Solanum lycopersicum: one gene and its partner. The protein of the gene in region 1 binds, or shares a complex with, the protein of each later gene. Links are inferred from orthologs where the notes say so. Each region holds a gene or a part of one and is shown in the gene's direction. Other genes may lie near its edges.

The links. The genes of interacting proteins can lie anywhere in the genome.
Region 2: large ribosomal subunit protein bL21c (region 1) and large ribosomal subunit protein uL24c share a complex: the UniProt entries of both Arabidopsis thaliana proteins name them as parts of the 50S ribosomal subunit. The link is inferred for Solanum lycopersicum from reciprocal best matches to the Arabidopsis thaliana genes RPL21C and RPL24.

The regions. Positions count from the first base shown.
Region 1 is NC_090805.1:43,261,415-43,265,722, forward strand, and holds the start of large ribosomal subunit protein bL21c, read left to right. Parts: upstream 1-1,476; 5' UTR 1,477-1,599; coding exon 1,600-1,893; intron 1,894-3,348; coding exon 3,349-3,429; intron 3,430-3,819; coding exon 3,820-3,921; intron 3,922-4,013; coding exon 4,014-4,088; intron 4,089-4,308. Other genes in the region: calcium-dependent protein kinase 11, read left to right, coding at 101-241. UniProt on the Arabidopsis thaliana protein: This protein binds to 23S ribosomal RNA in the presence of protein L20.
Region 2 is NC_090806.1:68,736,391-68,740,626, forward strand, and holds large ribosomal subunit protein uL24c, read left to right. Parts: upstream 1-1,324; 5' UTR 1,325-1,454; coding exon 1,455-1,547; intron 1,548-2,955; coding exon 2,956-2,994; intron 2,995-3,304; coding exon 3,305-3,535; intron 3,536-3,718; coding exon 3,719-3,925; 3' UTR 3,926-4,066; downstream 4,067-4,236. Other genes in the region: calcium/calmodulin-regulated receptor-like kinase, read left to right, coding at 15-350. UniProt on the Arabidopsis thaliana protein: One of two assembly initiator proteins, it binds directly to the 5'-end of the 23S rRNA, where it nucleates assembly of the 50S subunit. Required for optimal plastid performance in terms of photosynthesis and growth.

The DNA.
Region 1 (4,308 bases):
CTGTCAGTCCTTCTCTTTGACCTGACCTCATCAACCAGCCCTCCGCATGGGCATCACATTTCTGAGTTAAGTCAAGCTAATATATTCTTCTGTTTGGCAGGATGGACGTATAGATTACGGCGAATTTGCAACAATGATGAAGAAGGGAAATACAGGATTTGCTGCTAGAACAATGAGAGGCAATTTGAATTTTAACTTGGCTGATGCACTTGGAGCAAGTGACAGTGAGAAAAAAGAATAGAAGGTTTCTACTTCTATAATATATCAAAAAATGCATATTATTAGGAAATGTATTATACCAACATTATATTTAGATTGTTTGGTATCTAACTCTCTAATTCTAGCATGATTGTTTACCAGACCAAGCTGATAGAATACGTTGGACCAACCAATAACCAGAGGAGTTCAAGGAGGCTTTCAACCGGACGAGAGGGGTCAAGTAGAGCTGTGTTTGCCAAGACAATGTTGGGCTATTACCAGCATATATTGGTGCTCTATTATTTTGTGATGGTAGATAGATTTAGTGCTATAGTAGCAAAATTTCAGTTGTTGCTACTCTCAGCAACAGCATGCCCAGTATCTTTCCACGAGCGAGATCTGGAGAGGGTGGGATGTAAACAAACGTTACTCCTACTTTTGCTACTTTATCTTATATAATTTGAGGGTTTTTCCTCTAGTTCATAAATTCTAAAATATTACAGTTGTTTGTACCTGAGAAGTGTTGTAAAAACCTTCTTTATGTCTATATTAATTTGATGTTACTGGAAATTGAGTACCTTTTAAGATCATTTTGTCATATATTAAACACTAAAATAAATTTCAGTCTTCTTTTATTTGTGTAATTTTTTTGATTTATTTTTTTTTCCTTCCAATTTTGCGGGCTTGATTTTTAACATAACAAATGGCATTACTTTTGTTCTTATTTTACTCTTCTTACCACGTATTTGTAATCTTACTTCTACGTTTTAAAGATAGAATAATTATTTTTTAAGAGCCTCAAATTAAATAAAACATATCAAAAATAGTACTAGCACTATGAAAATTAAATATAATGTATATGTAATTGCAAAAAGTAGATGGGAGGCTTTACATAACTAACCTCGAGTCAAAATTAAACAATGATGGCTTCAAGAGTAAATGACCTATTATATAATTTAGAATATTTGTTAATCTCTCCATTTCAAAAAGGATGGTCTAGCTTGCCTTGAAACAGAATTTAAGAAGAAAAAAAAATTTTTTAATCTTGTGATTCTAAATTAAAGTTATGTCAAATGTACCAAAATATCCTTTAATCTTGTGGTCTTAAACATGTCACGTGGAAAGTTCAAGTTAAAATATTATGAAAAAAGGAAATGAGTTTTTTGTTTTGAAACAGACTAAAAAAGGAAATAGAGACGTTCTTTTTGAAACGAAGGGAGTATTATGTTACGAGAATATGTAAATTTATACTATTTCTAATACAATTATTTTTAAAAAAATAAATAAAGGATTTCGGGGTAAAATAGTCATTTGGCTACCACTGCAGATAGGATAGGCTTCAACAGATAAAATTGAGAGAGAGACAGAGAATACCCAAAAAAAACCTCTCACTCTCTAACAATGGCAACCCTTTCCCTGTGTTCTACATCTTCCCCCTCAACAGCACTTTCCAAGAACCAAACTTTTCTTAACACCCTTTCTGTTCCCAAAGCAAATTCCAATGTTACTTTTCTATCTCACTCATTTTCCTCTCTCAATCTCCGTTTCTCCAAGCCCAATTCTTTATCCTCTTTTGTACCCAAATACTCAGAATCTGAAGCTCCAGTAGCTGAAGTTGAAGCTGACCAAGAAGAGCCTGTTGTGGAAGCCACTAGCTTGGAACCAAAACGGGAAGAAATCTTTGCTGTTGTTATGGTGACGACTCACTTCCATTCATGTTTAAATTTGTGTAGACATATCTGTTTGTTTTCAATTTCGAAATCAATGTGAGGGTACAATTTAGATTTTTATTGAAAAAATTATGAGGTCCCAAATGAAAATTTGAAAATTCAGCGGAAAATGTTTCAGTTGTCTGTTACCTTGAATTTTTTTCTCGAAGGAAATAGGAAATTGATCTATTCCCTCTAAGGGAATGTTACTTTGTTGTATAGAGATCACAACTTTGGTTCAAGATTGTCATGTGCTCAACCTTTGATATCACAAAAGCAGTCGGAATTTTAATAAGGGGAATTCAAAATTACTCAGACCTATTATTGAAGCAATTTCTCGAATTAACCTTTGCCACTAGAACGAAAACTTCCTTTATGTCAAACGGATTAGAAGTTCCAAAAATTTGTTTTCATGAAGAATGTTCCACCACACCTCACTCACTTAGTTCATATTTCGTGTTTGCTAGTACTGTTGATACATTACTGCTTCCTATGGTGTATGTGGTGAAAATAGGGAGTGTTACAATGAAATTCTTTCGTTCTGTTATTTATACGTCAATGCCATTCTGTGATGCTTAGGTTTAGCATTCTGTTTTAGGGTGTCTTAAAGGAACAATACACATGTCTATATGTTTGTGTCATATTGACTTGGCAGTGGTGGTGGCTATTGGAAATGTTAAAATAGTCCGTGCTAAATAAGCTGAACTGAACTTTTTATATGCTTAGTATTCTCCAGTAGAGTTGGCTGATGTTAACAGAAAACTATAATTATTATGAAGACATGACGAAGATTTAGTACTTGGTATATCCTTACCTGTGTTCTGGACACCATCCAATTTCAAAAATCTCAGTCTATGTTCTCTTTGGTTTTAGTTTAATTTCGTTTTACAAGTGGGCCATCTATTTTCGGTAGGCGTTTCCTCTAGTTAAGTTGCAAAGGGGTTCATATGGCAGATTAGAAGTAATATAACTAATAAATAACTGATAACTATCATTTAGTTCTAACTTTAGGTGTTATACAGTTGTCAGAGGGAATACATATCTACAAGTCCATGCAAACATTTAAGCAAAAGTCTAGTAATTGTTGAAATTTGATTTTGAGGTTGCCATATTCTACACTTTCATCTTTTATTTAATGTGAATTGTGAACTATTGTATTTAACCGGAGAAAACATTCATGTTTACTACTTATTTGATGAATATTTTTTCTTTTCCATGTGGAAAATACTCACTCTTGCGAGGAGATTATAGCTGCTATTTCAATCTGATCATTATTCCTGCTGCTAACAATTTTCAAGTCCTCTAGGTGTCAAATTTTGTGCTTTATTTTGTTCTTTTTTCTTTTTTTCAGATGAATGTGACACTACCCTAATATAACTCTATGGGGCTTGTCTTTAATACGTTAAGCTGTTTGTTCATTTTTGCTCTTTCGCTTTCATAGGTTGGATCTCGGCAATATATTGTTTTTCCTGGGCGGTATATCTACACCCAGAGGCTTAAAGGTGCAAATGTCAATGACAAAGTGAGCATTTTTGGTCTTAATTTACAATTGATTTCCCAAAATCTGGTTACCTCTCTGTGGCTTTGGCTTTAGTTACGTGAGTTGTTTTTCTTTTTCCTTGTCTCGCTATCTCATATCAACATTGTGGTGTCCAATCAAAAAGAACTTGCTTGCAGCAATTTCTCAATTATGTCAAAAGGCATCAATTTCAACCAATAGTGACATTTGCTTGTCCTATTTCTATTATCTTTAATACATTGTCTTCACCAGTTATTTTCCACGGAAGCTAACACTTGATATAAGGGTTATATGTGTATGTCAAGGTTTTCTTGCCATATTGGCAATACTCTTATTTCAAAATTTCCACAATGAGGATCATTGTTGAAGCATCTATACTTGTTGCTTCTGCAGATTATCCTAAACAAGGTGTTACTTGTGGGAACAAAAACAAGTACTTGGGTTGGAAAACCAGTGGTGCCAAATGCAACAGTCCACGCTGTTGTTGAAGAGCAGGTCAGACATCATTCTTCCTCTGCTGTAGTTTCCACTGAGTATATCTTGTTTACTTGACATATCTGTTGGCTCATTATTACATTTCCATGCAGTTGAAAGATAAGAAGGTTATCGTCTTCAAGTATAAGAAGAAAAAGAACTACAGAAGGAATATTGGTCACAGACAGGTATCAAAGAACTGTTTTTAGTGATATCTGAATAACTATAAAGTAGTTTGAACTTTTTTAACCTATCTGTTTGCCCTTAAAGCAAGGCGCACCGTAGTCTATCATAGTTTTAACTATGTCTGCAAATAATTACCATGCAAACATGAAAACTGTCTAAATCAGTGAGCTTACAGCCATGTATGAGACATGCCCCTTAAAATGATATTTGTGCAGAATATCA
Region 2 (4,236 bases), on another chromosome or scaffold:
ATTGATGATTGTAGGCAGCCATGACTACAGATGGAAAAGGCGGATGGGAGGAAATCGCAGATTCCCGTCTTGATGGGAAGTATGATCTGCAAGAACTTAATGATGTAGCAGCACTTGCATACAAATGTGTGAATCGTGCTGCCAAGAAACGGCCTTCCATGAGGGACACTGTGCAGGTTCTGTCAAGGATACTCAAGTCTAGACACGAAAGAAAACGCCAGAAGCGATCTTTATCTGCAACAGCAGAGGAGATTACCATCAATGTTGAACAAGTAGATCATCGGAATCCAATCTCTGGACATCGACGTGTTGAATCTATAGATAGCACAGCTGACTCGTATGAAGTTTAACTCAGTTCTTCCATTTGTTTATTTTTTTGTTTCATCTTGTAAAATTGGTCAGGTTGTTAGGTTTCTTATTTACAAAAACACACTTTTGTCTTGGTGAGTTCGTTTGGGATACTTAGGGGTATGTTATAGTCTGAGTGTATGATAGCCTTTGTTCCCAATTTTGTTCTAAGTTTTTGTAAATTTGCGTGGAAGGTTAATGAATGGTAGAAAACGGGGAAAATCCCAGATCAGGCTTTTCCACTTCTTCTACATTAGTATCCTATTCAATCTAATTTTATTAAAAAAGAACCAAGCTTTTTTTATTTTTTAATCCCCCGATACTTTTTTTCAATATATTTATTTGTTCAATTCGTCTTTTATATGTTTTGTCAACCTATAAAACATTAAAACTTGATCATTTTTCCCTTCTTAAATTAGGGCAAATTGATACTTTACAAATTTATAATTACAAAAAATCTTCAAAACGGATACAATAATACAAGCGTTGATACATTAATCTAATGCGCGAGATGCAATAATTTAATGTATGAGATACACTAATCTGATGCGTGAGGTACATTTTATATATGATACACTAATCTGATGCGCGAGGTACATTTTATACATGATACACTAATCTGATGCGCGAGGTACATGATACACTAATCTGATGCGCGAGATATACTAATCTGGTGCGCGAGGTACATTTTATACATGATACACTATATGATGCTCGAGATACATTAATCTAATGTGCGAGATACATTTTTATACATGATACACTAATCTGATGCGCGGGATACAATAATATGATTCGCGATAGAAATTGATGTGATGCATGAAAATTGTGAAATTTTAGAAATTTGTAAAACTTATAAGGGATAATGATAATAATTAAACTAAAAGGTGAGATTTTCGTAATTAATCCACAATCCCGAAATAGCTGAAAAGGGACTTTATAATTGGGCCGTACTCGACCCGTTGAAGGTCCAATTAAGTTGGATCGGGTGTCCAGGGATAGAGAGAGAAGAAGACGAAGGTTCTGGTTTTTATTATCCTATCCAAATACTCAGCTCAGTGTTGTTTCTTCCTTCAACAAAAGGATTTTGCAGAAGGTTTTGAACAATGGCGGCTCTGCAGAGCTCCTTTACTGGTCTCTCCATCTCCTCCACCTCCTTCTTCGGCCAACGCTTCTCTCCTCCTCTCTCCCTTCCTCTGGTATGCTTTCTCATAACTTCAACTATCTGGTTTTCAAACTGAACTATCTCAAATGTTAATTGTTTTGTTTCTACAACTGTATCATTCGGTCCAGCTTGCTCACAACTCGACTAATTACGTAGAATACCTGCTACCTCTAGCCAGAATTGAATTGTGTTGCAAGTAACTTTCTCCATCCAGTCTTACATAAATGCGAAGAAATAAACTAGTGTATTGTGATTTGAACCAATAAATCGTAGTTGTTCACCACTGCATTGACCACTAGGCTATATCCTATCTGTTTATCTCAATTTCAATTGTCTTTGTGAAAGGTCTTTGTTTGAATAATTTGATTTCTATGTATTAGGGATCATAGGAACAAAGGTATCCATTTCCATTGTACTATTGATTATAAATTAATTTTATATTATTTGATTACAATATATTGTGAACTTTTTCTCTGCTTGGTCACCATTGCTACCTGAGTCCTTTCTCATATCATATGTTTTTTCGCTATTATAAGTTTTGACTGCGTGTTTGGTACGAAGGAAAATGTTTACCTAGAAAACAAATGTGGAACTTACTAATTTTCTAGTGTTTATATGGTAACTAAGCTAGATAATATTATTCCAAGAGCATTTATATGTTATATATCCAACAAAATACTATGGAGGCGAGATGGGATGGGGAGTGGGGATTCGGGGATGGACGGACGTGATATGGTCAAGAAGTGGGAGTTGGAGGGATTGGGTGATGATAACTTGAAATGCTACTTATCCATCTTGTTTTTCTTACTTCCACTACGGAAGTCATTTTCTTTATTTTGAACTTGAACTTGTTTTCCTAAAGAAAATATTTTCGTAACACAGGAAAGTTGGAACTACATACCAAACACAGTGTATTTCTAGCTGCAAGAGAATAATTTTATATATAAAGACATCTACAATTTGATACAGTAGTTCCTCAAAAGTTCTTCAAAAAGTCAAGTATATTAAGAATATGCTAATTGGTTAACTTAAACTTACCCCCTCTGTTGTGATTGATGTCTTCCAAGTTCTAACATAGGATGAACCCTGTATTTGACTTAAGGTTCGAAATTTTAATATTTGGACATATTTATCAATTTTTTAATACATATATAGGGTCTGAGTTAAAGCTACTGGGTGCTGCTGAACCCATATTATACATATGCCTCTGTGTTCCTCGATAATAAATCGTTCTCATATTATAGTTACCTGTATAATCAGAAGTTATTGGAAGCAAATATGGAATAAGATCTGTCTCCAGAAAATGCACTTGCTTGTTATTCGGTTAACACTTTTTGGATGTATATCACGCCTTACGCAGTTTGTCACTTTTTATTGTGTCAACTGTAAAACTGGATAATCTTTTGCCACTTTAATGACAATCTCCATATAATGCCGTGCAGGTTAAATCAGCAGAAGGTCCATGTTTGATTACAGCAAAGGTTGGTATCTTGATCCATTTTGGTCCTTTAGTATATTGTCCGAGATAGACATTTCCGGCAACTACTTTTATAGGGTTGCTGTTAATGTGGTCATGCATTTCTTTTATAACTTATGATGTAATGAAGGAAGTGCTCGAACTAACTTGTCAACAGCTTTTAAAAATGGCCACCAAATGTTTGTATTGCTAAACCTTTGGTACTAATTTTTATGGGTATGATATTCTTTTAGCTGAAACAACAGTTAATGAGAATTGTGATTAGAATTAGCTTTATCATTGAATAAGAGCTTCTTTTTATGTCTATTTTGCAGCTTAAGCGATGGGAGCGTAAAGAATGTAAGCCAAACAGCCTTCCAGTACTACACAAAATGCATGTAAGGCTGGGTGATACTGTAAAGGTAATCTCCGGCCATGACAAAGGTAAAATTGGAGAGATTACCGAGATCATCAAGCACAACAGCAAAATAGTAGTAAAAGAGGTGAACTTGAAAACCAAGCATGTGAAGAGTCGGAGTGAGGAGGAACCAGGCCAGATAGTCAAGGTTTTATCTCGATTTCTTTCTTCTCTATCTTGCCTAAAAATTGTTATCTTGAGATTTCATTTCGTCGTGGCTAGCATCGAATTCATCTTTGCCCTAACAAGAAAGTAAAACTTTGTGTTAAGATTTTAGATTGAACTTCCCCAAGTTGTTTGGATTGAGACGTAGTTGTTGTTATTGTTTCAGATTGAAGCTCCTATTCACAGCTCAAACGTGATGCTTTATTCAAAAGAGCAGAAGGTAGCCAGTCGGGTTGGTCACAAAACTTTAGACAATGGAAAAAGAGTCCGGTACCTCATTAAAACTGGGGAAATCATCGATAGTGCAGAGAACTGGAAGAAAGCAGTCAAAGAGAAGGGGAAAACAACAGAAGCAGTAGCTGCTGCTTCCTAGGAGATCCACTGGTCTGTAAATTCTAGTTCGATTTTGCTAATTTTGAATCTTCTCTCATTGATATATTATGATTCTGTTGTCACCTTCACCTTTTTAACTCAGTAACATAAGATTTTATATTAAAGTACATTTACTCAAAAATTCTGTTTGCCAGTACTATTACGTACTAGAGTTTGATGGTTAATGGGTCGAATACAATGATCTTTATGTGCTTTATGATTCGAGTTCTTGTCCATTTATCGATGATTCTTTCAACTGTTTCAAGAATGTATGTATGTATGTCATGATACAGATTATCTCATGCTTAGATA